4 linked regions of the Anolis sagrei genome follow. The protein of the gene in region 3 binds, or shares a complex with, the protein of the main gene of each other region. Links are inferred from orthologs where the notes say so. Each region holds a gene or a part of one and is shown on either strand. Other genes may lie near its edges. The genes, in order: POLA1, POLA2, PRIM2 and PRIM1.

Region 1 (6,950 bases), on a different chromosome or scaffold from region 3:
AATATTTATTAACAACAGAGAGCAGCTTCACACATTCTGTTGCTGACTGCTTCTGCCACAATTTCTCATTCAGTAATTCCCTCATAGTACTATTGTAGGATTGAGTGATACAACTATTAGATCAGTCTAGCTATGTTATCCTGTCAAGGGATTCAACAACTACTCTGTCATTACCCAGCTTATTTCTAGATGCTGGACATTTGGGGGACATTAAAAATGTAGCTCTTATCTCTACAGAATCATTCCCTGGAGTCATCAGAAACTGCATGGCATTTCTAGTGGTCTTTTCAATATCTCACTGAGAGTCATCAATCATTTTGATTAAAAATATTACATGATTTAATGTGTGTATCTTTGGTAACATTTATTTATTTATTTGGTACATTTGTATACCGCTAATATCTCAGCCTATACGGCGACTCATTTAAAAGAATAGAGCATTTAAGGCTTTGACGCTTGTACAATTATGTGTGTGCCTTCAAGTTGCCTGACTATTTATGCAACCTGCTTAATTCCATAGGGTCTTCTTAAGAAATAAATACTGTACTCAGAGGTGTTTTTGCCAGTTTCTGCCTCTGAAACATTGCCTACATCACCTGACAGAGATAAAGTATCACCTAACACAAATTCTTGGGACCAGAAATGTTTTGGATTTTGGATTTTTTCAGATGCTGGAATACCTGTTATTCACAAATATGTACATAATGAAATATTGCGGATAAGAGACTTAAGCCCAAACACAGAATTCATTTATATTTTACGCATACCTTATATACATAACCTGAAGGTAAAGTCATACAATATTTTTGATATCCATTTAAAAAGTCTGTGTACCATCAAAAAGCAAAGATGTCTCTGGCTCAGCTACTAATGTGGACAGTGCTGGAATATTTTGGAATTCCAGATAAGGGATGCTCAACCTCTATTCGTTAGCAGTCTCCCATCCAAGTCCTAACCTGATTGAGCCCATTTTGCTTCCAAGATTAGACAGGACCTTAACCCAGCAGGACTGAATTCCAATAAAAATGTCTATGATTGCACCAGCCCTTAAAGCATATTTCAGAAAAGATATGAAGACCTCAGGATAAAGGGATTCGAGAGTGAGGGGTCTCATTTATTTTCTTTGTTGCTGAGATTGTGGCGTTACACTCACTTATTTGGAAGTAAGCTCCAGTACAGTTAATGGGGACATAGAGAGAGATATATATACATACACAAAGAAAGGCAACGCTGTTAGCTGGGACTCAAGAAACAAGCAGAAATAGTTGTATACTTTAAATAAAAAATAAAATAAAATCAGCAGTTATAACCAGTTTTTATAATACAGTAAAGCTATGTTACTTAATGTGTCTTCAAAGGCTTTCATGGCCAGAATCACTGGGTTGCTGTGAGTTTTCCGGGCTGTACGGCCATGTTCTAGGAGCATTCTCTCCTGACGCTTGTACACATCTATGGCAATCATCCTCAGTGGTTGGGAGGTTTGATGGAAACTGGGCAATGAGGTTTATGTATCTGTGGAATGTCCAGGGTAGGAGAAAGAGCTCGTGTCTGCTTGAGGCAAGTATGAATGTTGCAATTGGTTATAACATTATAACATTCCACACACACACACACATATATATATAAACCTCACTTGAGATAGATACACCATGAAAACAAACACAATCTTGCTACTAGTATTGAAAAAAACTCCAAAATCAGGTAAGTAAACAATGAACACTAGAACACTAGGGAATTCCAGACAAGAAACAATCAGGGCCAGCAAATCACCTCCCAACAAAGGATTCCCCTAGGTAGTAACCAGCCAGGCTTTGAAGCTGCAAGGCCATTCAGTGCAAATAAAGGTGTCCAATTGCAACATTCACACTTGCATAAACAGACAAGAGCTCAATATACTGTCGAAGGCTTTCATGGCTGGAATCACTGGGTTGTTGTAGGGATTTTTTGGGCTATATGGCCATGTTCTAGAGGCATTCTCTCCTGACGTTTCGCCTGCATCTATAGCAAGCATCCTCAGAGGTTGTGAGGTCCTCTGAGGATGCTTGCCATAGATGCAGGTGAAACTTCAGGAGATAATGCCTCTAGAACATGGCCATATAGCCCGAAAAACCTACAACAACCCAGACATGAATTCTTTCTCCCACCCTGGACATCATTCCACAGATATATAAACCCCATTCGCGTAGTTTCCAACAGACCTCACAACCTTTGAGGGTGCTTGCCATAGGTTTGGGCGAAACGTCAGGAGAGAATGCTTCTGGATCATGGCCATACAGCCTGGAAAACTCACAGCAACCCTGTGTCACTTAAGCTTGTCTTTTAATTACTGTGTTTCCAATAGAAATATGAAGTCAATGCAAGGTTTGTGGCATGGGTATAGTATTAGGCCTATTTTTTAAATAATAACTCTGAAGCATCCAGAAACAACATTTATCCGACACATATGGATGCCGGTTAATTGAAAGTCTATTGTATACACATGTGTGTATGTGTGTGCACGCACACACAGGCTTGTATTGTGTGTTGCTTTCTCTCCTAAGAGAGAAAGGGCTTATTTATCCAGATCAGAAGCTTGCTCCGTTCAACTAGAGATGAAGGCTGCCACATTGCTGCCATTTTGTTTGAAACAGAACCCCCCTCCCCAATTTCGCAATGGTACTGGCCCCAGGTTCCCATTCAAACCCCTTTGTAAGAGCAGGCGCAACCACTCCGAACCGGAGGGGGGTTCTGACACTCCCTAGCTTCTCTCTTTTATTCGAACCCTCCATTCCAGCCCCCCTCCCTCCGCAAAACCCACTCTCACCTCCATGGCAACCGGCCCCGTTGCGCGCGCTCTCACTGCCCTCCATTGCAGCTCTCTCGCGCCAAAGCGCCTGAAAAGTGGCGCGAGAAAAAGAGACCCAAGTGCCCCGGCCAGGCGGCCAGCCAATCAGAAGCCGCGGTGACGATATCCGTCCTTCCCATTCCGCTTTGGGGTCGAGAAGAGGTTGAGCCTGTCAAAGCTACGGCTGAGGAGGAAAAAGCGTGCGCGCGGGTTGGTGGAACAGAAAATAAAACCACACCGCGTCGGCTTTATGTGTGGTTTTCAGTATTCCGAATGTAGCAAAAGGAGCGCGGGCGGGCCAGAAACAGGGAGGAGTGAAGTTTTTATATTTATTTATATCTTGCTTTCAGCTCTGGCAGTTAAAGTGGTGTCACACTGCATTAATTCTACAGTGTAGATGCACCCAAAGTAGTGTTCTAGGGTCCTCTTCACTCTGCTCACCCTTAAAAAAAATCAGAATGCTGTTTAGCTTAATATCTTTGAAGCATGAAGGAAACATGTTACAAAGTAATAGAAAAATACATTGAAATTTACTTAGGTAAAGGTAAAGGTTTTCCCCTGACATTAAGTCCCGTCGTGTCCGACTCTAGGGTGTGGTGCTCATCACCATTTCTAAGACACCTCCAAGGTCATGTGGCCAGCATGATTGCATGGAGCGCCATTACCTTCCAGCCAAAGCAGTACCTATTGATCTACTCACATTTGTATGTTTTCAAACTGCTAGGTTGGCAGAAGCTGGGCTGACAGCGGAAACTCACGCCGCTCCACAGATTCAAACCTGCAACCTCACGGTCAACAAGCTCAGCAGCTCAGCAGTTTAACTCACTGCACCACCGGGGGCTCCCTGAAAATAAAATAAAAACCATGACACCAAGAAATACACACACACATACACATAGGGATGTGTTATTGTGGGTCATAATCCAAAATCAGGAGGAGAACAAATTACGAAATAGCTTCATCCAATTCATTGGACCTTATAAAGCTCTTATAAATACAGGAAGCTGGAGCTGACAGACAGGAGCTCATCCAGCTCCTTGGATTCGAACCTTTCGGTTAGCAGTCTTGCCAACACAAGGGTTTAACCCAGGCATGGGCAAACTTGGGCCCTCCACGTCTTTTGGACTTCAACTCCCATAATTCCTAACATTCCTGAGGGATTTGAGGGCTTAAGGCTTCTAGGAATTGTGGGAGTTGGAGGATCAAAACACCTGGAGGGCCCAAGTTGTCCCATGCCTGGGTTAAATCCTTGTGTCAGCAGGACTGCTAAGGGAAAGGTTCGAATCCAAGGAGCATGGTGAGCTCCCATCTGTCGGCTCTATCTTGCCATGTGGGGCCATGAAAAAAGCCTCCCACAAGGATGGTAAAACATCCAGGCGTCCTCCTGCAACGTCCTTGCAGACGGCCAATTCTTTCACACCAGAAGCAACTTGCAGTTTCTCAAGTCCCTCCTGACATGAGGGGGAAAAGCTACTGTACCAGGTTTTGCCTTCCTTTTTCTGACCATATTTTGGCTGACAGAGCATCCAAAGTTCCCCTTGCAGGCTTCCTTGTGTGGAAAAAAATAAGACTTGCTCACTCAGCCGTAATAAATGCAGGAGAAAGTTTTGTCATTCACTCAGTGCCAGATTTTTGGCCCATGACACAGTTAAATTTTCAAACCGAAGCTGTTGCCATAGTTGCAGCACAACTTAAACAATAGCCTTTTCATCCTGGCCCAACACTTGCTGGTGCAGAAGGAAGCTCCCATTATCCCTTACTTGTTACTTCTTAATTTCAAATAAGTATGCTGGCTCTTTCTGATCTACAATGCCAAATAATATGTAGTAAGTTTTCCTTCCAAATGTGCATGGCCAAGAGGAGAACACCAGCCAGCAAACTGGGGTCATCCTTTTGTAAATAGCGTTATCTTCGGTGGATTATGTCTACACGATCTTTAAACTTTGTTGGGACCGTCATAGAGAACAACTTGGCACAACCTTTGTCCGCCTCTTTCAGTGAAAAAAAAAAAAGAAAATTGCTGGATTTTATCAAGTCACTTGGAGCAACTTAATATTCACCCATTTTCGAAAGCAACATTGGTGGAGAAGAAAAGGCAAACACTCCAGCAAGGATGGTGGGCCGTCAAAAACGCAAGATAGAAAAGGAAGCCACGTCTCCTAATTCCTACAAATGCCAGCGAAATGTGAGTTACACTTCTATTTTTTTTCCTATCACACATTATTATAAAACTATTACCACTAAATATGACTCTGTTTGTTTTATTTAAACTTTTATAAGCCATATTCTTAAAGAAAAGGGGCACGTGAAGGACTCCTGTAAAAGTGTGTAAAATTAAACAGTACAAAATGTAAAATAAAATAATTATCATTATAATAAAATATTACAAAATTAAATAAAAATAAAGCTTCGTTACTAGGGTGCCGTGGTTGTGCTGTGGTTTAAACCACTAAGCTGCAGAACTTTCTGATCGGAAGTTTGGTGGTTCAGATTTGTAGACAGGGTAAGCGCCCATTGTAAGCGCCAGTTTCTGCCTACCTAGCAGTTTGAAAACTTGCAAATGTGAGTAGATCAGTAGGTACCGCTTCGACAAGAAGGTAACAGCGCTCCATGGAGTCATGCTGGCCACATGACTTAGGAGGTGTCTACAAACAACTCCGACTCTTAGGCCTAGAAATTGAGATAATCGCCACCCCGCAAAGCCAGACACGAGTAGACTTAATGTCAAGGGGAAACCTTTACCTGTATCTTACTTAGCACTATGGCCCTACATCTCACAGAAGATGTATGGAATGCTTGAGATTATGGCTTCAGAACAGATACATAGTAAGAGACAACTGCATACATCGTTAGTTGATTGTAAATGTAACTTATAAAAGTTACTGAAAATAATAGGGGTGAGATCTCTCTTCTGGTTTGACAACACTTCTCAATAATAATAATAATAATAATAATAATAATAATAATAACAAAGCACTTTCTGCCTTCCTGCATGTAAGGCACAGTCAAAGCACTACTGAAAGATGGCCATCCATTCTTAATAATTATAATAATAATAATAAAGATAATAAATATAATAGTTTTAACCTGGAGAAGGAAAGAGGGGGGAAAGAGAGGAGGGGTGAGATCTCTCTTCTGGTTTGACAACACTTCTCAATAATTATTATTATTATTATTATTATTATAACAAACCACTTTCTGCCTTCCTGCATGTAAGGCACAGTCAAAGCACTACTGAAAGATGGCCATCCATTCTTAATAATTATAATAATAATAATAAATATAATAAATATAATAGTTTTAACCTGGAGAAGGAAAGAGGTTAGGCAGGCAACAGGCAGGTCTCTGAGTGCTGCACTGCTGTGTCTCTTTGCCCAATGCACGCAGGCCAGAGTGAGGAACGAGGTGAGGTGACGACAGGAGGAGAGGAGAATTTGATCCACTTAAGCAGAGGCCAGGGACCCGGAAGTGGGGTAAATGCTTGCAACCAGGGAGAGGGGAGGGAAACAACTATAAAACTTGCACCAGACATACGGAAATAATAACGAAACAATTACAAAACAATTACGAAATAGCTTTAAAAATTCGTTTCGTTTTTTAGTTGCTCCTGAATGGTTTGTTATCGCTTCGTTATCAAGAAAAATAACAAATTATTAACGAATTACGAAATTAACGAACGAAACCGCCCAGCCCTAGTAACTACCAGCAGGTCCAACCAAGCCAGAGAGGTCTCAGCTGTGGAGTGGAACCAAGAGCACCTAACCCATTAGCACTATGGAGAAGCAAACCAAAAACGAAGTCTATACTGGCTCGGTCGACGCCCAAGATAAACAGGACCGTGGTGGATGCTGCTGATTCTGGACATCCATTGACAAGTGGGCTAAAGAATCAAAATACAAATGAACCATCACAGAAGCGGCAGAAATATACAATGCCAGAAAACCGCACAGTTATGAAAGTTTACTATTATTATTATTCTGCCTCCATCGTCCACCTTTGCTGCTTTGTCCTGGGATTTTGCAGCCCCCCAGATGGGTTTTTTTATTTAAAAATCTTAAGATGTGAATATGCAAATCATTGTATAAGTTCCTGGGTTATACAGTCTGCCTGGCCATCTGTGCAGACA
Region 2 (7,647 bases), on a different chromosome or scaffold from region 3:
GTATGTCAGGCATCCTCAGCGGTCATGAGGTCTGTTGGAAACTAGGTAAGTGGGGTTTAGACAGGAAACAATCATGGCCAAATAAAACCTCCCAACAAAGAATTCAACCCGGCAGGAAGCAGACAGGCTTTGAAACTGCCAGGCTATTAAATGCTAATCAAGCTGGCCAATTGCAACATTCACACTTCTCTCAAACTGACAAGTTCGTTCTCCCACCCTGGACATTCCACAGACATATCAACCCCACTTGCCTAGTTTCCAATGGGCCTCACAACCTCTGAGGAGGCCTGCCATAGATGTGGGAAAAACGTTAGGAGAGAATGCTTCTGAAACATGGCCATACAACCCGGAAAACTCAAGCGACCGATTATTATTATTATTATTATTATTATTATTATTCAGTTCTTGTGGGTTTTTTCGGGCTATATGGCCATGTTCCAGAGGCATTTCTCCTGACGTTTCGCCTGCATCTATGGCAAGCTTCCTCAGAGGTGACCTCACCTCTGAGGAAGCTTGCCATAGATGCAGGCGAAACGTCAGGAGAAATGCCTCTGGAACATGGCCATATAGCCCGAAAAAAACCCACAAGAACTGAGTGATTCCGGCCATGAAAGCCTTCGACAATACATTATTATTATTATTATTATTATTATTATTACTACTACTAGCCATCCCCTGCCATGCGGTGCTGTGGCCGAGTCTGTGTATATGTGTTTTGTGTGTGTGTATATCTGTTTATATCTTTTATTTATTTATTTATTTATTTATTTACTTTGCTTGTATACCGCAGTTTCTCAGCCCGTAGGCGACTCAACGCGGTTCACAACAAGAGCAAAAAAGTCAATCCAACAGGCATAAAAAATTTAAAAACCCATTAAACAACATAATATACAGGATAATAACACATCAATATCAACTAGGGCTGGGCCATTCGTTTCGTTAATTCGTAATTCGTTAAAAATTTCGTTAATTTTTGAATTACGAAACGATAACAAAACATTTTTTTTAACCTGGAAAAGTTTTTAAATATTGAAACGGCAGGCGCCAAAAAATTTTGTATTTCCGTCCATTTCGGAAATACTTAAGATGGCCGCCTGCCGATGCTTGCTGAGAGGGCGAGCTTACTTTTCCTTGGAAGGGAGAGGGGCGAGCGAGCAGCTCGCGAGAGGGGCGAGCGAGCGGCTCGCGAGAGGGGCGAGCGAGCGGCTCGAGAGAGGGGCGAGCGAGCGGCTCGCGAGAGATTTTGTTCATCTTCATGGTTTCCTCCTTTCTGTTGAAATTGTCCACATGCTTGTGGATTTCAATGGCTTCTTTGTGTAGTCTGACATGGTGGTTGTGAGAGTGGTCCAGCACTTCTGTGTTCTCAAATAATCAGGCACATCAATTCACTCTCAACAAGAGATTCCCCCCAGGCGCTTCCAGGCCATTGAATGCAAATCAAGGTGATCAGCTGAAACATTACCCTGGTCATTCCACAGATATATAAACCCATTTTTCCTACTTCCAACAGACCTCACTACCTCTGAGGATGCTTGCCATAGATGCAGGCGAAACGTCAGGAGAAAAATTGCCTCCAGAACATGGCCATATAGCCCGGAAAAACCTACAACAACCCATTACGTTTTTTATTTATATAGATTATTATTAATACTCTGCTTTTTTTCTCCACATGGAGACTCAAAGCAGCATTTCAGTCTGATTAAAAATCTCCAGATATATAAACATTAAAACACAATTAAACATCATTAGAGTTTTGTAATGGACGTGTCTTTCCTCCTTTTTCTCTCTTCCAGTGGATACAGCTAACCATGTTTGCCTGAAAGAAGATAACGGAGCCAACCCCGCACGGCTGCCTGGCCTTCCTCCTCTTTGGACACCTTTTCTTATTATTATTTTTGTACCTGCAAGTGCCTTGCGTCACAATGGGATGGCTTGTTGCCTTTGATTTCTCTCTTATTTTGCTGCCACTTCTTCCCGCAAAGGAGGGAGGGCCCTCGCTTACACTCAAACACACGCACTCCGCACACATTGCCTTTGCAACGCCCACCACCTGTGCCTGGACACGCGTGACCTCGGGAGCCACCCCGCTTCACGGAACCGCTTCCTGCTCTCCGACGCCAAGGAACCACGCGACACCGTCTTTCTCCATTACGTGCCATGGTAACGGGACCGAAGACAACGTCGGCTTCATATTTTGGAAGACGGTCATCCTTTGGTTCGTCAGTTTGGATTTTCTCCTGCCCTTAAGCATGAGATGAGCTTGCTTTCATCTTTTGTGCTATTAAAGGAGAAGAGGAGAATATATAAATATGCAAATATATATACATATAAAGACACTCTCCATGCCAACTTGGACCCTTGGAACACTTTCCCACGCTTTGCCATATTTACAGGAAATTCCCCTATTTACAGGAAATTCAGGCCTGGGCAAACTTGGGCCCTCCAGGTGTTTTGGACTCCAACTCCCACAATTCCTAACAGCCGGTAGGCTGTTAGGAATTGTGGGAGTTGTAGTCCAAAACACCTGGAGGGCCCAAGTTTGCCCAAGCCTGATCTAGTCTTATCTTCTCCCTTCTACCCGAAAAGCAATGGTGCAAATACAAAAGTGTGTCATTTCCTGTATACGTGTGCGTGCAAATATATATCGATATACACTTTATTTTTTCCAGAAGCATATTAGTGCTTGCTGATGCTTTATGTCCTCTTCCGATTGAGGAATTTGGAGCCCAAAAGCATACTTACATCTCTCTCTGCTTGTTATGGGGATGCATAGATGCCCTTTGGGGGGTCTTCGGGTTGCTTTTAGAATGCCAAAACGGGGCGCTTTTTGTCCGAGACGAAAAGTTGTTGCTCGATCCTATCGGAGGATCCATTCTTGAGATTCATTTTTACATCCTCATCCTGGGTACTACTGTTTTATCTTCTTCCTTTTGATTGTTTTTCTCTGTTTTATATTGTAGTAAAAAAAAAAGACATATTTTATTGCCAAAGTAAATAAAGGAATAAAGTTGCTACGACAAAAATCCTTTTTGGTTTTTATGACTTACGCTTTTTTTAAAATATTGTTTCTTTGTTTTGTTTTGTTTTTCTTGCTGGATGCTTGAGAGTTCCAGTTCAATTGAAAGGGTCTTTGAGTGAAATTTGCAAATGCTAAGCAAAGGGCTTTGAATGAAATTAACAGCAAAAGATAAACATACCCTTTCTCTGTGGAAAAGGAGCAACAGGGAAGAAAATATTTTTAAGAAACAAGATGCAACATGTAGAAGTCGGAAGTTGTGTTATGGTTAAGTTCAACGGTTGTGGTTAAGTGCAGAGTCTGCAGGTACAAGAAGGTACTTTTCATCAAAAGGTCAACGGAGAGGGGCTGGAAAGAGAGTACTTTCCATGACCTATTACTTGAGTATAAAAGTCAGCAGAAAAAGAGGAGGGGTGCGGCAGTCACTGGAAGGGTAGCATCTGCGTATGCTGCCAGGCTGTCCGTCTTCTTCATGAAGAAACTAAACCTTGTTTTTTGATCTTTTTTTGGGACTGTCTCCTTCCTTACATGTTCCCGTGATGTGGACTTAAGAAGACCCAATTTAGGGTCTCTAACACAATGATATTTTTAAAATAATTGTACAGAACATAAGACACTTCTTAATTAAGACACCTAAAATCATTAGCGAAGAAAGTTAATGACACATTTATTTATTTATTTATTTGTATATTTATTTGCTACATTTTTATACCGGCCCTCTCAGCCCGCAGGCGACTTGAGGCAGTTCACAAGGCAACAATTAAATGCCAACATCATTAAAACATTTAAAACATTTAAAAGCATTTACATATCAATTAAGACCATAACACATTAGTAAAAGCAAATCATTTCGTCTCTGTAGTTTTCTATGATCTACAGAGACACTCGCTGGAACACCTCAGCAAGCGAGAGTCCAAAAGTGGCAGGTTCAAACCCAGAACCTCAACCAATGGCTGATAGCAAATGAGCAACTCCCCCCTGGGCACACAGAGGACTGGGCAACTTGGAAGGCGCTGAACAGACTTAATTTGCATAGAAGTCCTCCCATTGGAGAGTTGGCTCGCCCTAGGCCACGCCCATTTGAGCTAAAGTCCACAAAAGCCGGAAGATCAGACATACTTTACATAGAAGTCTTCCCATTGGAGCGTTGGCTCTCCTTAAGCCACGCCCACTCGAGTGGAAGTCCACAAAACCCGGAAGAACAGACCTACTTTGCATAGAAGTCCTGCCATTGGAGCGTTGGCTCGCCCTAGGCCACGCCCACTCGAGCTGAAGTCCACAAAACCCGGAAGACCAGACTTCATTTGCATAGAAGTGCTCCCATTGGAGCGTTGGCTCTCCTTAAGCCACGCCCATTCGAGTGGAAGTCCACAAAACCCGGAAGAACAGACCTACTTTGCATAGAAGTGCTCCCATTGGAGCGTTGGCACGCACTTGGCCACGCCCACTCGAGTGGGTGTCCACAAAACCCGGAAGACTAGGCATACTTTGCATAGAAGTTCTCTCATTGGAGCGTTGACTCACCCTAGGCCACGCCCATTCAAGGCCTTAGCAGCCACTCACAAGGAGCTTACTCCGCCTCCTTTTCCATATAAGGTGATTAGGGGCGTGGCTTTCCCCTCCAAAGGTGGCGGGAAAAAAAGGGCGACCAGAAGCAATGGAGTCTCCAGCTTTGGAGGCTGTGGTGGCCGAGCTGAAGGTCTTCGGCCTTGACGTCGCCGAAGGGGAAGACGAAGGCGCTCTGGCCGGGAAGTGTAAGTGGCTGCATCCCCACTGTAAAGTTAACGCAGTTTGACACCGCTTTAACTCAGTTGTGGCTCAGTATTCTAGCTGAGGCCTGACCCAAGCAGAATAGAGTTAATAGAATCATAGAATCCCAGAATCAAAGAGTTGGAAGAGACCTCATGGGCCATCCAGTCCAACCCCATTCTGCCAAGAAGCAGGAATATTGCATTCAAATCACCCCTGACAAATGGCCATCCGGCCTCTGCTTAAAAGCTTCCAAAGGAGGAGCCTCCACCACACTCCGGGGCAGAGAGTTCCACTGCTGAACGGCTCTCACAGTCAGGAAGTTCTTCCTAATGTTCAGATGGAATCTCCTCTCTTGTAGTTTGAAGCCATTGTTCCCTTGCGTCCTAGTCTCCAGGGAAGCAGAAAACAAGCTTGCTCCCTCCTCCCTGTGGCTTCCTCTCACATATTTATACATGGCTATCATATCTCCTCTCAGCCTTCTCTTCTTCAGGTTAAACATGCCCAGTTCCCTAAGCCGCTCCTCATAGGGCTTGTTCTCCAGACCTTTTATCATTTTAGTCGCCCTTCTCTGGACACATTCCAGCTTGTCAGTACCTCTCTTGAATTGTTCGCCTGTGACTCAATTTGGATACCACATTCCTATTGATACAGCCTAGAATCGCCTTGGCCTCTTTAGCTGCTGCATCACAGTTTTTTCCCCCTCATTGTCCATTGAATCTTGTGTTGTTGTTGCTTGATCAAATGGGCATCTTGTGTTGTTGATGGGAAAACATCCATGAATAAAATATCAAGGGATAGAACTGCATGTTCCAGGATCCTCAGTCCCATATAGGCATCAATATATTATATATACATATAATACTGATAATATTACAATGTAATACAATATACTACTACTACTACTAGCTTGTTTTCTGCTTCCTTGGAGACTAGGACGCGGAACAATGGCTTCAAACTACAAGAGAGGAGATTCCATCTGAACATGAGGAAGAACTTCCTGACTGTGAGAGCCGTTCAGCAGTGGAACTCTCTGCCCCGGAGTGTGGTGGAGGCTCCTTCTTTGGAAGCTTTTAAACAGAGGCTGGATGGCCATCTGTCAGGGGTGATTTGAATGCAATATTCCTGCTTCTTGGCAGAATGGGGTTGGAATGGATGGCCCAGGAGGTCTCTTCCAACTCTAGGATTCTATGATACTACTAAAATGATATTATAATTATATATTTTATATTACATGTAATATTACTAATAATATTACAGTATAATGTTATAGTACAATGCAATATCTCTATATATATAAATGTTCTGTGCATAATGAGTACCTTAAAAACAAAAGAACCAATGAACAAAATCACACCAAATTTGGCAACAAAACGTCTCACAACACAAGGAGTGACCATCACTCAAAAAATTAGGATTTTGTCATTTGGGAGTTGTAGTTGTTGGGATTTATAGTTCACCTACAATTAAAGAGCATCCTGAACTCCAACAACAATGGAATTGAACCAAACTTGGCGCACAGAACTCCCCTGACCAACAGAAAACACTGGAAGGGTTTGGTGGGCATTGACCTTGAGTTTTGGAGTTGTAGTTCACTTACATCCAGAAAGCACTGTGGACTCAAACAATGATGGATCTGGACCAAATCTTTGATACTGCATCTGTCATATACATATATGTGTGTATGGCACGAATACTCAATATGCCCAAATATATAATCACAGATGGAGTTTGAGGGAAATAGACCTTGATATTTGGGAGTTGTACTTACTGGGATTTATAGTTCACCTACAATCAAGGAGCATTGTGAACCCCACCAACAATGGAATTGGGCCAAACATCCCACACAACCCCCATGACCAACAGAAAATTTTGTTTTCTGGTGGTCCTTGGTGACCCTTCTGACACTCCCCTGGTGACCCTCCCCTGGGATCTTGACTTCCCAGGTTGAGAAAGGCTGCCTTAAGGCCATCCAGTCCAGCTCCCTTCACCAGGGCAAGAAAACATAATCAAAGCCCTCCTGACAAAGGGCCATCCAGCTATTCACACACACACACATATAAGTATATGACAGATGCAGTATCAAAGATTTGAAAGGGACCCCTAAAGAAGGGCAATGATATGTTGCATGTTCCAGCGTGGGTAAACCAGACACTCTCCACATCAACACTGGCAAAGAAACAGCAAGAAATACTGTTTTACCCACAAGCATCAAGACATTACATATATTAGAAACCAACACTTTCTCATTACTTTATTTTCCAGATCAGCAGACTGGGCCACAGCAATGCGTGGCAGGGGACCACTATATATAACCCCACCAATGATGAAATTGAACCAAACTTGGCACACAGTTCTCCCATGACCAACAGAAAATACTGGAAGGGTTTGGCAGGCAGTGTCCTTTAGTTTTAGAGTTGTAGTTCACCTACATCCAGAGATCACTGTGGACTCAAACAGTGATGGATCTGGACCAAACTCTACATAAATACACAATATGCCCAAATGTAAACACTGGTGGAGTTTGGGGAAAACAGAATGTTGACATTTGTGAGTTGTAGTTGCTGGGATTTATAGTTCACCTACAATCACAAAGCATCCTGAACCTCACGAACGATAGAATTGGGCCAAGCCTCCCACACAGAACCTCCATGTGGGCCACAGCAACGCGTGGAAGTGGGTGGCTAGTATATAATAATATTGTGCTATGGTAATAATATAATATATTGTATAGGGGCAAACTTCCCACAATGAAACCCCATAACCAACAGAAAATACTTAAGCCCACCCAGACAAACTCCCTTCACCAGGGCCAGAAAATGTAATCAAAGCCCTCCTGACAAAGACCCATCCAGCCATAGATATAGATAGATATGATTCAC
Region 3 (7,308 bases):
ATAGCATTGCGCTGTAACAGTTTAAATAGTGTCAGACTGCATTACCCTTACAGCATAGATTCAGCTGTGGAAATGAAGGAGTAGCGATAGGTAGGTAGCTACAGTTCCTGTGGCAGGTGGTTAAAGCTTCTTCTGAACTAAACAACATCAGTGCAAACCTGCAAAAGCACCAGATTGCAAAGGTGGGCTTAAGCTAGATAATGATTTTCACCTCTGTTGTCCACATAGAGTGCATTATGGAAAGTACATAATGCAAACATAGTAAACCATAGCTGTCCTGTAGATTAATAACTCTCACTGCAATGTGGAATCAATCTAGCCAATCTGACAGTCGATTTAATAACAAGAATTCTTCAAGAAATCATACTGGGAAAGGAAAACCACTGCTTCATTTTAAACACCTAATGGTGCATTATTCTAGTTCTAATATAGCAATGTAGTGTTAAATAAACAAAGTGCTCTTGTAACTGTTGTTGTTACCTAGTCATAAGAAAAATGGTTTAGTGCTTCTCAAGTTTTTTTGCATCTGCTTTTCTACAGTCTATTTAAACTCTACATTCCTTTTTTATTTTTTATTAAAAAAACTAATTTGTGTGAACTTGGCATCACACAAACTGATTATTTCTGTAGTGCATTGAAGAATGCTGCTATTACTTCAAAGTGAACAGGGCTTGCTTAAAATGTACCAGCAATAATTAACCTCAGTAATTATTTCTATTAATAGAAGTAAAGAATGCATTTTCCTATCTACAGATCACCATTACCATTACAGTGTGTGTACTATTCCAAAATATAACTTCAAGGATTGAGTAAAGAACTATTATTTATCAAGTGGCAAATTCATCAGGACTTTTGGCTGCTACAACAAAGTAAACTGGCAAATTGCCACAGGACTCTTGGATTACTGGAAAAGGAAGAAAGTTAATGGCTGGCAATGCAAATAAAATAAAACAAAACATTGCTCTTGCCTTTTCAAGACCCTTGAAGAAACAAAACAAATGTAAATAAAAAAGCAAAAGCCTAACTGCCTGTGTTGTCTGTAGACACCTCCAAGGTCATGTAGCTAGTATGAGTGCATAGAGTGCTGGTACTTTCCTGCTGGAGTGGTACCTATTGGTCAACTCACACTGGCATGTTTTCAAAGTGCTAGGTTGGCAGGAGCTGGGGCTAACAGTGGGAGCTCACCCCACTCCCCAGATTTGAACCGCCAGCCTTTTGGTCAGCAAGTTCAGCAGCTCAGTGGTTTAACCTGCTGCGCCACCAGGGACTCCCAGTGTTTTAAGTGTAACTCCAGCTCTCTCTCTCTCTCTCTCTCTCTATATATATAAACACACACACACACACATTTGTTAGAGCTGAATAGTATAGGGAAGGGTTAACTTCCCCATGGTGTTTCTTTTGCTGTCTATGCCCCTGTTCAGAAGATTCCACCTCACATTCTGTCACTGTGAAAATTGGATTTTGGAAAATGTCGCATGTTGTGGAAACAAGGATTGGTGGTAAAGTTTCAGTGGAGACATCTTTTCCCGTGATAATAACTTTTCCAGGAATGAATTTCCCTTCAGATTTCTCCCACTTCCTGTCTCATCCTTGTTATTAACTATGAGTTGTTTGGAAGTTGGATGTTTGTAACTTGGGAACTGCTTGTAAATAATGGCTTATGACCAGTGTAGCTTGAATGCGGTTTGACACCAGTTTTGCTGCCAGTGCTCATTCCTGTGGAATCATGGGATTTCTACTTTGGTGAAGGACCAGCATGATTTGGCTAAGAAAACTAAAGATGATGTAAAATGGCAGCTTCTTTGATTCCATAGCATTGAATGAAAGTGGTATCAACCCCAATTAAATCTACAGTGTAGACGCACCCAAAGACAGTTTGATACAGTGAAGCAGAATGGTTTTATTGATATATCAGAGTCACATGGCATTAATACTTCAAATATGGTAAGATGCCATGATTGTGATGGAACGCCCAAGCCTTTTGGGAAAAACTATAGTGTCTGGCTTTACTTGGGGGATATCGGTACACCTTCTGTTAAGATTAAGAGCCTTAGGAGACAGAGGCACTTTAGGCAAGGTGATAAGATAACCAAAATGAGTTTATTGCAAACAAGATGAATAAAGTGTTAACTCCAGATGAGACTATCATAAGGTAACTTAAAATGATATATTACAAAAGAAGCCTTTCCTGGCTCTGGAGTCTTTGAAAGTTTCCTGCCTCTGGTGCAAAGCGATGGTTATAAACTGACTCAATCTTCTTTCTTGTGAACCATGAGTTGGTCATAAGTTTCTGTTGTCCTTTGGACAGATGGTGTAAAAATACTGCTGAATGCAGGTACTAAGGGTGCCTGTTTTTGGATTGCTAGGCCTAGGGTTACTAGACAATCCCAAGCCTAAGTCACAGTAGCTCTGCTGTAGAAAAGAAGGAGGAGTTCAGCAAGAGAGCTCTGTACAGGGAAATGGAACAGACTAACTAAGGCTGGCCTCTGGGGAGGTGTTATGCTCCACCCAAAAACTAATACAAAGGAAGGCATCTACAGTATTGGGAAAATCTATGAACAGGGGGAACTAAAGCAGAGGAGAGGAGAAGGCAAGACATCACAGTGCTCATATTTATACACACTTCATTTATTTCTTGTGAAGCATGAGCTGGTCATGAGCTTCTGTTGTCCTTTGGCCCCCAACTTAGCAGCCTTCAAGAAAAATCTGAAAACTTGGCTATTCTGATGTGCCTTCAAAGAGTGACCATTTATTCCATCTCTGTCTGCTCCATCCATAGTGGTGTCCCCGTCCTAAACTGGAATAACATAATTTTTATAATTTTTTTTATCCTACCTCATCCAGGGTTTTATCATTTTACCTTGTCCATTTGGCCTGCCCATTTTGTTTGTTTTTATGTTGTGTTAATTTGCTTTATAGATGTTATTTTTGTTACTGCATGTATTTTATTCTGATGTACTTTATGTTGTCTGTAGTGTGTATTTTAGTTTTGCTGTATTTGTACCTTTGGGCTTGGCCTCATGTTAGCAGCCCCGAGTCCTCTTCGGGGAGATGGTGGTGGGGTATAAATAAAGATGATGATGATTATTTGGACTGCTGGTATAAAAATACTGCTGAATGCAGGTACTAAGGGTACCTGTTTTTGGATTGCTAGACCTAGGGTTACCAGACAATCCCAAGCCTAACTCACAATAGCTCTGCTGTAGAGGAGTCCAGCAAAGAGCACTATACAGGGAAATGGAATAGACCAACAAAGGCTGTCCTCTGGGGGGATATTAAGCTCCACCCAAAACTAACACAAAGGAAGGCATCTACACTATTGGGGAAACCTATGAACGGGGGAACTGAAGCAGAGGAGGGGAAAAGGCAGAGCCAAGTCTTCACACGGATGATGTTTGTGATACTATGCATGCCTTCTCCTACATCAAAGGATTTACACACAAGTAAACTTAGGGAAGAAGAGGAGGAGGAGGAGGAGGGAAAGAAAGGGAAAGAGAACAAACCTTGGGGCAGAAAGAGGAGCTTCTCTTAGTGACACGACCTCCATGCCATTCCTTGCAAATCCCAAGGCCTGGCTTAAGCCTAGCGCTTCAGTCAAAGAGACGGTTAATACTTACCGAGGGAAACGACTTCCAACTACTGCTTGTGCCTGCTAAGTCTTTTTCTTATTGCCATTAACGTAATGGAATTAGTTTTCTAACACGACCATCAAATGGGCGCAAAAAATGCATCCAGAAGGAACTGACCACATAAAACGCGAAGGAAAACATCTGTCCACCTTTTCCCAATGGGAGCCGGAAGTGGAGGCTGTACGCAGCGCTCACCTGATGCGCTTACCTCTATAGCCTCAGGGCGCGAGAACAGCCCTGCCTCCGCCGCTGGCCAAGGCCCTCCACTCCGACCCTCAGGTCCGCCTACTTCCGGCCTCGTGGGTTCCTTCCTGTCATTGCGTTCGCGTCGCCGTGGCAACCCAGAGATGCCGGCGGAAGAAGTCGGAGAGAAAGGGGCGGGGTCAAAACGAGGCTCCCAGGGAGGGAGGAGAGAGCTACGTCACGGGTAGAAAGGAGGGGAGGCGTTGCCGTGGCAACCCAGAGAAGCCGGCGGAAGAAGTTAGAAGGGGCGGGGTCAGAGCGAGGCGTTGAGGGGGGTAAGAGGCTACAGGCGGGAAGGGAAAGGTGTTGCTATGGCAACGTAGGAAAGTCGGCGGAAGAAGTTAGAGAGAAAGGGTGAGACAAGAGGAGGAAGCGAGCCTACGTCACTAGCAGAAGCGGGGGGGGGGGGAAGGACGTTGCCGTGGCAACCTAAAGAAGCCAAGTGGAAAGAGGAGGCGCTGCCTAAGCAGAGGAGGCCACGTCACGGGCAGAATGAAGGGAGGAGGCGTTGCCAAGGCAACTCGGAGAAGCCGGCGGAAGAAGACAGAAGGAAGAGGTGGGACCAGAACGAGGCGCCGAGCAGGAAGTGAGCTTACGTCACGAACAGGTGTTTTCGCGCGGGAAATTGGGATCTGACCCTCGCGCGCTGAAAAAGGGACAGTAAGTAACTTTTGGAAAGGTAGGCGGGCGCCAAAAAGGGAAGGAAGGGAGGGAGGGGGGTGCTGGTTTGGAGTTCCTTTCTTTTGGCCTTCCTTGTGTATATGTTTTCTCGAAAGGAAGACCTTCATTGAGGCCTGTGGGGCGTTCACCTTTTGCCACTGAGTATACACCCCCCAGTGAACTATATCTCCCTAAGTTCACAGCCATTTCTCCTATATATTGACAGACCCTTGGCTGCTCCTTCCTTCAGGGACTGACACAGGTACATCTTTGGAAACTACACCGTTGTTGTTCTTTGCCATACCTTTCCTTCCCTCTTTCTCTCTGCATCACTCCTAATTCTAGTTGTGCATTGCTCCCCTCTATCTAGACTCACATTTACCTTCTGCAGATCAGCTACTCTTCCTATATTAAGTTGTTAAATAAGAAGTAAGGGATGTGCAAAAGCATCATGGTCAAGGTAGGACATGCCGACTCCAGATAGTTGTACACCACTTTAACCAATCTCTTTAGCAGGACCTTACTGGCTTCATTGTTCTTTTTGTCACAACCATGTCTGTTATTCTTCCAGTTCGGTTGAGCTAAAACCCTGAAAATAAGAATAATAGCAATTAAGATTCTCAGCTAGAGAAGGACATACAAAATGCATGTTTATTTATTTACAACATTTATATCCCGCTTTTCTCACCCTGAAGGGGACACAATAGCTTACAAGTTATAAGTAAAGGTTTTCCCCTGACATTAAGTCCACTGGTGTCCGACTCTGGGGGTTGGTGCTCATCTCCATTTCTAAGCCAAAGAGCGGCATTGTCTGTAGACACCTCCAAGGTCATGTGCCCAGCATGACTGCATGGAGCTCCATTATATGTACATGCAATATATTATATTATTAGCTTAGCACAATATTAGTATTATGTATTACTATATTTTACTGTACCATTATATTGTAATATTATTAGTAATATTACATGTAATATGAAATATAAAATTATTATATTGTAGTATTATTACTATTGTATTACATCATAATATTATCAGTATTATATGTGTGTAGATTATTAACACAGCACAATATTAGTATTATATATTACTATATTGTACTATGTCACTATGCTGTAATATTATTAGTAATATTACATGTAATATAAAATATATAATTATATTGTAATATTGTTAGTATTATATTGTATTACATTATAATATTATAATATATTATATGTATACAATATATTATATTAGCCCAGCACAATATTAGTATTATATATTGCTATATTGTTACTGGGAGGAGGGACTCCCAACCGATGACTCAGGAGACATGGTGAGTCTTCCTGACTCCCCTCCTTCACTCTCCTGTTGAGATTAGTTTGTGGTTTTCTCCAAACTCTTTAACAGAATACTCTCAATAAAACACAGGAGATTGACCTGCCCTAAGTGTCCCAGTGGCATCAGATGTATTTATTATTTATTATTTATTTACTGTATTTATATACCGCCTTTCTCACCCCTGGGGGGACTCAATGCAGTTTACAACATGTTAATGGCAAAAATTCAATGCCAACATACAAGTAAAACAGGAAACCATAATAACTAACCACTACATATAACCAAGATTATGGCAAAAAGAATGATTGACAACTGGAAAATAGAGGGAGAAAATGTGGAGGCCATGACAGACTTTGTATTTCTAGGTGCAAAGATAGATGCAGACTGTGGCCAGGAAATCAGAAGACGCTTACTTCTTGGGAGGAGAGCAATGTCCAGTCTCGATAAAATAGTAAAGAGTAGAGACATCACACTGGCAACAAAGATGCGCCTAGTCAAAGCCATGGTATTCCCTGTAGTAACCTATGGATGTGAGAGCTGGACCTTAGGGAAGGCTGAGCGAAGGAAGATAGATGCTTTTGAGCTGTGGTGTTGGAGGAAAGTTCTGAGAGTGCCTTGGACTGCGAGAAGATCCAACCAGTCCATCCTCCAGGAAATAAAGCCCGACTGCTTACTGGAGGGAAGGATACTAGAGACAAAGTTGAAGTACTTTGGCCACATCATGAGGAGACAGCAAAGCCTAGAGAAGACAATTATGCTGGGGAAAGTGGAAGGTAAAAGGAAGAGGGGCCGACCAAGGGCAAGATGGATGGATGGCATCCTTGAAGTGACTGGACTGACCTTGAAGGAGCTGGGGGTGGTGACTGCCGACAGGGAGCTCTGGCGTGGGCTGGTCCATGAGGTCACGAAGAGTCGGAGACGACTGAAAAAATGAACAACATATAACTATGACTTAAAATCATTAAAACAATTAAACGTACAACATCAAACAAAATTTAAACATTAAAAGAAAGCATTAAAAACATCCAGGCATAAATATGAAGGTCACATCATCCAAAAATCCTACACCGTAGCTATTCTGATTGTCATTGCACATGTTCCTTAATTACTCTTTGCACTGCATAATTTTACTGGCCAAGACTTGGTCCCACAATCACGTCTTTGTTATCTTTCTAAAGGCATATCTGATCTTGAAGGCTAAACAGTGAATACCAGTTAATACCAGGTGCTATAGGCTGTATTAGAGGCCCCTTCCACACAGCTGAATAAAATCCCACATTTTCTGCTTTGAACTGGGATCTATGGTAGTGTGGACTCAGATAACCCAGTTCAAAGCAGATATTCTGAGTTATATGGCAGTGTAGAAAAGCCCTATGCCAGTCCAAGAGCTGCTGGAGTAAATCCCCTTCAATTCGTTTTGGGAAGCAAAAACACAACTGCTGTCATTTTAAAA
Region 4 (6,974 bases), on a different chromosome or scaffold from region 3:
CCTTTGTTGGGAGGTGATTAGCTGGCCCTAATTGATTCTTGTCTGGAATTTCTCTGTTTAGAGTATTGTTCTTTCTTTACTGTCCTACTTTTAGAGTTTTTCAATACTGGTAGCCAGATTTTCCTCATTTTCATGGTTTCCTCCTTTCTATTTAAATTGTCCACATGCTTGTGGATTTCAATGTCGTCTCTCAAAGAAAACTCACAGCAACCTAGTCTAGAGTTGCATGACTGATTTTGGGGTTTTTTTTAATAGTTAGTACAAGGCAGGCCACGTTGTAGAAAAGTCACCTTGTTAGCTGGGGATTTCTGAAAGTTCCAATCCAAAAATTGTAACTTTTCCAAAAGGTGAATCAGTACTGGAACATGGCAGCTAAAAATAATTATTAAAGCTCCTCCTGATCCGATGCCTCAATCCCAATCAGATTTTGGAGTTCCTCAAGTAGTGAGTATATGCTTAACAAAAAACAGAAGCAGCAGCCTCCCAAATGTTTCTTTTAGTCCCCAGTAAACATGGACAGCACTCGTTAATATTTGGATGGGAGACCACCAACAAATACTGTATGCTCTATTTCAGAGGAAAGAACTGACAAAAACACCTCTTGAGCATTCCTTGCCTAAAAAACCCTATGAAGTTCAGCAGGCAACTTGCACATACACACAGGGCACATCTACACTGTAGAATTAATGGATGCGGTTTTCACAGACAACACACAATGACATATATATGAGTATTCTTACACATGTTCATAACATTCCGGATTTATAGACATGTGCAAGAATCCTAAGGCGTTCTACTTCTAGTTCTACTGAAGACCTAAGAGCCCACTCAACGTCTATGGAAAATGGACGAGTGTAAAAAATGAATCTTTAAAGGCTTTGCATACCTCAGAATTCACTTCCCTTGTGACTGTCCAGCTGTTTGAAGTGGGACCATCTGCAAGTTAAAAAAGGCGTATGTAGTATATAAATAACCTTTAAAAACCATCCCACCCTACATTTGTATAGGGACTTGGGATAGGCTGCAAGTCAACAAATACTTGGTTCTTTTGCAAGTGCAGGTGAAAGTCCAAAGCATTGGCTGTATCAGCACCCTGCCCGCTCTGGCCAAGATCCAACTCTTTCCCCTCTATTGATTTAACTCCCCTGGTGATTGTGTGCAAGGACAGTAACTGTGTTGCTTGGCAGCTCCTTGAGGCCAAGTCTCCCGATTGCTTCACACTGCCGACTGAACCAGAATTAGTCCAAAGTTTATTTTGCAAATATTCATCTCCAGTTGCAATCACGGTGCATGACTAGGGACTGTCAAAAATGTCCCCAACTCATTAGAAATGTGAGGAAAAAATGGTCTAGCTTCCTATTTTATGATTGCCACTTTTTTTTTTTCAGAATGTTACTATTTTGTATATTCTTCCAGGGAAACAGCATGGTGGAGGTACTTGAGGACTGGACTCGCTCAGCCATGAAAACCCACTGAGTGACCTTGGGGAAGCGGAAATGTCCTTTTGGAGTTTTGTTATACAGCAGAAGGGACAAATGCTAGACACACATGCTAAAATTTTAAAAACCCAACTTCAGTAGTCTTCGGGAGAACGTGAGTATGATTCCATGATCAGGAATGCTACAGGAGTTCTTATCAAAGGATAGGAATTTGAGAAAAGTGAGATATCGGGTGACACAATCTCAAACAGTTGCAATTAGGAGGAAAAATAGGTGTCTAAAGCAGACCCGCACAATATATTATTATTATTATTATTATTATTATTATTATTATTATTATTATTAGATACATCACACAGTCCTAGACATCAAATACAAAAGCCAGCATACTGATTTGTTTAATACAAGATTAGTACACAGCAAGCAAGGTCACTATGCTGGCTGCTGTATTGGATCACATGTCGGACACTTCTCGAGTGTCTAGCACTGTGTGATGTATCGGCGAATAATGCAAGCAGATCCAGGTAGGATGGCCTTTTGCAGCTGACAGTTGGGAATTTTGCCTGGGCCAATTGTTTTGAAGTGCAGGCCAAGATTTTTAGACATTGCACCCAGTGTGCTCATCACCACTAGGACCACCTTTACTGGCTTGTGCCAGAGCATTTGCAGTTCGATCTTTAAATCTTCATATCATGTAAGCCTTTCCAGTTGCTTCTCGTCAACTCTGCTGTCACCTGGGATTGCAACATCGATGATCCATACTTTCTTTTTTCTATGATTGTAAGATCAGGAGTATTGTGCTCCAAAATTCTGTTTGAATTCAGAAGTCTCAGAGTAGTTTGACATGTTCATTTTGTGTAACTTTTTCAAGCTTGTGGTCCCACCAGTTTTTTTGTCGTAGCCAGGTGGTATTTATGGTACAAATTATTTATTATTTATTTATTTGAAACATTTATATTCCACCCTTCTCACCCCAAAGGGGACTCAGGGCGGAGCACAACATATATATGGCACGCATTCTGTGCCAGAACATAAAATATCTATAAATATATACAACACTAATATCAGTGGCTCCGGTCAGTGGAGTGCTTTCCTATTATTGCCTTATTCCATTATCCCAAAGTTCCAGTGGATCATCTGAGCAATGGTATTATGCCTCTGCTTATAATCAATCTGTCTGCGCGATCTTCTGTGTATGTGATCCATCGTTTCGTCTGCTTCCTTGCAGAGTCTACATTTGGAATCTGTCGTCGACTTTTAGATTCTGGCTGTGATGGCATTGGTTGTAATGGCTTGTTCTTGGGCTGCCAGAATCAGGCCCTTGGCCTCCTTTTTCAAAGTACCACTTGTGAGCCACAACCATGTTTTTTCTTTGTCAATTTTGCTCTCAATTTTTCAAAGGAACTGTCCATGGAGAGCCTTCTTTTGCCAGTTTTCTCTTCTGTTCTGCATTGTATTTTTATGGTATTCACTCTTTGTCTTTTGTACTTGAAGCAGTTTTCTACTATTGACTTCCATCAATGTTGGTGCTTGACTGCCTTTCACATAATTAGTGTGTGTTTCTCTTCTTCTACTGTTTCACTTGCAGAAGCCCTCTGCCTCCTAATATTTTGGGCAGGTAAAGTCTGTCAACACCGTCATTATTTGATACACAACAAGATTAGCAACCAGCAAACAAAATCACTATGCTGACTTTTGTATTTGATCACATGTCGGACACTTCCCAAGTGTCTAGGACTGTGTGATGTATCAGTGAACAATGTGGGCAGATCCAAGTAGGGTGGCCTTTTGCAGCTGACAGATGGTAATTTTGTCAGTGCTGATTGTGTTTAAGTGCAGGCCAGGGTCTTTAGGCACTGGGACTACCTTTACTAGCTTGTGACAGAGTCTTTGCAATTCGATCTTTAAATCCTCATATCGTGTACTCTTTTCCAGTTGCTTCTCATCAATTATTGTTGTTGTTGTTATTTATACCCTGCTTTTTCTCTACAAGGTGACTCAAAGTGGCTTACATTAGCATTTCAATACGACTGAAAATCTACAAATATACACATTGTGCTTTTAATTATTGTTTTTCAAGATGAATATCACATCAATACAGAGGTTGTGGTATGGTTAGTTCTATTTTAATAAGTCACTCTCAAGCAACTGGCATCTACAAATCCGACAGGTGCCGCTTAACTGAGGCTTGTGATCAAATACTAGCCTTATAATCCAGTTTAAGAATGTGGATTATCTGCATTGAACAGTATTAGATCAGTCTACACTGCCCTACAATCCAGATCTATGCACTTAATCCACATTCTAAAACTGAATTAGAGGCCAATGTAGGCCTGACCTATATTGTATTTCGGAGGGAGCTGTAAAGTGCTTCTAAAACCGACCACTAGAGGGCCTCCAAAGCCACGTGGGAACCCTTAAGTCTCGCGGGGACTACAATACCCACAATGTTTTGGGGATTGCGTCAGGGAAGGCGGGGGCGATTCTGATTGGCTCTCCGAGCTGTAGGGGGCGGGGCCCTGCATTTTCCCGCGCGATTCCCTCCTTCCTTGCGAGGGATCATGGCAGAGTTTGACTCGGGCGCTTTGCCGGACTTGCTGCCCCTTTATTACCGCCGCCTCTTCCCCTTCGGCCTTTATGGACGGTGGCTGCGCTACGGCGACGGTGAGGCCTTTGGTCCGGGCAAAGGGGGGAGACTGCAGCCTGCCAACGAAAGTGCCTCTGAGCATGTACAGAAATCGGCTATGTCCAAGGATGCATCTACACCAGGCGTGGGAAAACTTGGGCCCTCCAGGTGTTTTGGACTCCAACTCCCACCATTCCTAACAGCTTCAGGCCCTTTCCTTTTCCCCCTCAGCCGCTTAAGGGGCCTAAGGGTGTTAGGAATGGTGGGAGTTGGAGTCCAAAACAACTGGAGGACCAAAGGCTTTGCAGCCAAAAAGGCTCCACAGAAATGGCACTACAAGGCAAACATTGATGACATCTGGCAATGTAGAAGTTACTGGGGAGATACAAACTTAGCTTTTGGTCCTTTAATCTAGAACAGGGAAATTCCAGCTGTTCCGATAACTCAAAGAATCCTAGAGTTGGAAAAGACACCAAGGGCCATCCAGTCCAATCCCATTCTATCATTCAGAAACACAATCAAACCCCTCCCGACAGATCAGCCTCTGCTTAAAAACCTCCAGAGAAAGAGGCTCCACCAATCTCTAGTAGCATATTTCACTGCTGAACAGCTCTTATTGTCAGGAAATTTAGGGGTGGGGTTGTCTATTTGAATTTATAGCTCTGCATTAGGTTCTCAGGGGCAACTGTCACAGAATCCTGGGATTTGTAGTTTGGTGAGGCACCATCACTCTAGTAGAGAAGGTTAAACGCCTTGTAAAACTACAACTCCTAGGATTCCATAGCATTAAGCCATGGAGCCCCCCAGTGGCACAGCAGGTTAAACCTGCTGAATTTGCTGACCAAAAGGTTGGTGGTTCATATGTGGAGAGCAGGGTGAGCTCCCGCTATTATCCCCAGCTTCTGACAACATAATTTGAAAACATGCAAATGTGAGTAGATCAATAGGTTCCGCTTCTGTGGAAGGTAAGGGTGTGCCTTGCAGTCATGCTGGCCACATGACTTTGGAGGTGTCTACAGACAACTCCAGCTCTTTGGGTTTGAAACAGAGATGAGCACCACTCCCAGAGTCGGACACAAGAAGACTTAATGTCAAGGGGAAACCTTTACTTTTAAAGTGGTGTCAAGTTGCATCAACTCTAGAGTGTGGGTGAACCCTAGGAGAAGAGATGCCAAATGTGGCTGGCCTTCCGTCAGGGCTGGTGGAATGGGCTTGGTTTCCTTACCTGCCACCCTCTGCAGATTACGTGCATCAATTGTTACCACACAGCAGAACTAGAAAATATAGCACTTTCAGCATGCTCAATGAACTTTATCTATATCTTGTATTCTTACAGCAGTTTGTGAGAGTATTTCTCTGTTATTTCTCAGCATTTTGCCAAAGGCTATCATAGAAGTTTATGAAAGAACGGATGTTCAATGGAAGAACTTCTTCACTGTTTTTATATATAACTAAGTCTTCTTCTTTCTTTTAGTGATGAAAAATTACTTTCAGCGGCGAGAGTTTTCATTCACGCTCCGCGATGATATCTATGTGCGGTACCAATCTTTCAACACACCCCAAGAACTGGAGAAAGAGATACAGAAAATGTGTCCGTACAAAATTGACATTGGAGCCGTGTATTCACACAAGGTATTGAAAATGGTGGTAGAGTAATAGAAACAGTGGTTGTATAGAAAGGATCTCTGAAAAGGATTTTAACCTATCCCTTTTCTTTATGGTAGATGAATGCTGTCAGGAACTATTTCTATATACTAGATTTCCACATTTTCTTGTAAAATGCCACTAGAGTGTGAATTGTACTCAAACTTTTGCCATTGCCTGAGTATTTTTATAGTTCAAGTATGTGCATTTTTCGAACTCATCTTGTCTTCTAAAGCTCAAATGCCTTTTTCCTCAAGAGACACAGGCAATTCCCAGCTTGCCTCTACTTTACTTCTGTAAGTTTCCTTTTCTATAGTTTTAATATATTCATGTGGCCAAAATAGCATCGCCTTCCCCCATAAAGGCAGCCTGAGCCAGCTTATGAACCCCAATGTTCACAAACTATTATGCTGACTGGCAATGGCAAAGCAGAGAATCTGTTTGAGAAGGGATTCAATGGAGTATCATGGCAAATGGAACAGCTGACGCAATCACTTTGCCTTGTAATGTTTTGTTGCAAGGGCCACAGATACCATAATGATGCCTGATACTACCATCAGTGATACATTGTGCAATGATCTATTGTCTCACTAACTACCCAAAGCCAAACATGACAGATAGAGGGCTGGATGTGTATTTGGGGATGAGTGGGACACTTGGAACTACATCTATGAAACCTGGGAAAATACAGCTGCTTGCTTAATGATGTGTATAGTAACATACCATTCACAGATTGTCTCCTCCTTGATATTCTTGCTAGGATGCTAGAGTTGGGTGATTGGTTTGAACAAACAGAACATGCCATTTGGACTGTTTGTTGTTTTCATGCAGACGTAGAAGAATATAGCAGAGAAAGCAGACACCTTTCTTCTAATGTTGCTCAAAGGCCTAGTTGTGATAGAAAAATAGGGAACTCCCTTATACCAGATCTGACTATACCTAGGCCAGTCTTGTTTTCTCTGCATGTCAATGACTTTCAAGGGTTTCAAACACATGGACTTCCCATCACCTGTTATCTGATTCATTTGACAGGAAATGCAGGGGATTGAGCGCTGCAGGCCTCTGTCAGTAAAACATGCTATCTTGTTGAGGTTGAATATATCTTATCTCCAAAAGAGACACAATAGACATGTAGCAAAGTGCTCAACACTAACTATTGGGTCTACAGCCCAGAAGTGGCTGTATCCAACCATTGAGGCATTCCATTCTACACACAATTATTCACTGAAATATCACCTGCCTAGTAATCAGAAGAGTTACTTTTT

Evidence for each region.
Region 1: the proteins of PRIM2 (region 3) and POLA1 are in contact, whole or in part, in a cryo-EM structure (PDB 8G9F), measured with the Xenopus laevis proteins. The link is inferred for Anolis sagrei from reciprocal best matches to the Homo sapiens genes PRIM2 and POLA1. Residues at the interface, in XP_018121015.1 of Xenopus laevis: Pro34, Pro35, Thr36, Glu37, Asn38, Ile39, Ser40, Leu41, Ile42, Phe44, Glu45, Ile49, Ile107, Phe110, Ile111, Leu114, Cys117, Gln118, Ser119, Glu120, Asp121, Arg123, Ala240, Arg241, Leu243, Val245, Val246, Gln247, Arg251, Leu252; in NP_001082055.1 of Xenopus laevis: Leu842, Lys853, Ile894, Pro895, Glu896, Leu971, His974, Arg977, Glu978, Leu981, His982, Glu985, Gln988, Lys989, Asn991, Glu993, Asn1007, Asn1009, Arg1101, Asp1102, Glu1106, Gln1109, Glu1221, Asp1224, Gly1225, Asp1227, Ala1229, Leu1230, Met1233, Trp1234.
Region 2: PRIM2 (region 3) and POLA2 share a complex: the UniProt entries of both Homo sapiens proteins name them as parts of the alpha DNA polymerase complex. The link is inferred for Anolis sagrei from reciprocal best matches to the Homo sapiens genes PRIM2 and POLA2.
Region 4: the proteins of PRIM2 (region 3) and PRIM1 are in contact, whole or in part, in a crystal structure (PDB 5EXR), measured with the Homo sapiens proteins. The link is inferred for Anolis sagrei from reciprocal best matches to the Homo sapiens genes PRIM2 and PRIM1. Residues at the interface, in NP_000938.2 of Homo sapiens: Glu165, Ala168, Ser169, Pro171, Ser172, Phe188, Ala189, Leu192, Phe195, Arg196, Gly197, Arg198, Val200, Tyr201, Leu202, Glu203, Asp204, Gly205, Phe206; in NP_000937.1 of Homo sapiens: Lys147, Glu148, Asp149, Phe150, Gly151, Phe152, Ala180, Val181, Gly184, Ile185, Glu187, Tyr188, Ser190, Leu191, Lys193, Lys207, Ile208, His209, Pro210, Ile212, Arg213.

The regions. Positions count from the first base shown.
Region 1 is NC_090023.1:86,499,194-86,506,143, forward strand, and holds the start of POLA1 (DNA polymerase alpha catalytic subunit), read right to left. Parts: upstream 3,009-6,950; 5' UTR 2,850-3,008; coding exon 2,804-2,849; intron 1-2,803. UniProt on the Homo sapiens protein: Catalytic subunit of the DNA polymerase alpha complex (also known as the alpha DNA polymerase-primase complex) which plays an essential role in the initiation of DNA synthesis.
Region 2 is NC_090032.1:10,785,366-10,793,012, reverse strand, and holds the start of POLA2 (DNA polymerase alpha subunit B), read left to right. Parts: upstream 1-4,628; 5' UTR 4,629-4,673; coding exon 4,674-4,770; intron 4,771-7,647. Other genes in the region: CAPN1 (calpain-1 catalytic subunit), read left to right, coding at 1,794-1,820. UniProt on the Homo sapiens protein: Accessory subunit of the DNA polymerase alpha complex (also known as the alpha DNA polymerase-primase complex) which plays an essential role in the initiation of DNA synthesis.
Region 3 is NC_090021.1:118,613,095-118,620,402, reverse strand, and holds the start of PRIM2 (DNA primase large subunit), read left to right. Parts: upstream 1-4,288; 5' UTR 4,289-4,532; intron 4,533-7,308. UniProt on the Homo sapiens protein: Regulatory subunit of the DNA primase complex and component of the DNA polymerase alpha complex (also known as the alpha DNA polymerase-primase complex) which play an essential role in the initiation of DNA synthesis.
Region 4 is NC_090022.1:137,140,693-137,147,666, forward strand, and holds the start of PRIM1 (DNA primase small subunit), read left to right. Parts: upstream 1-3,953; 5' UTR 3,954-4,000; coding exon 4,001-4,103; intron 4,104-5,539; coding exon 5,540-5,697; intron 5,698-6,974. UniProt on the Homo sapiens protein: Catalytic subunit of the DNA primase complex and component of the DNA polymerase alpha complex (also known as the alpha DNA polymerase-primase complex - primosome/replisome) which play an essential role in the initiation of DNA synthesis.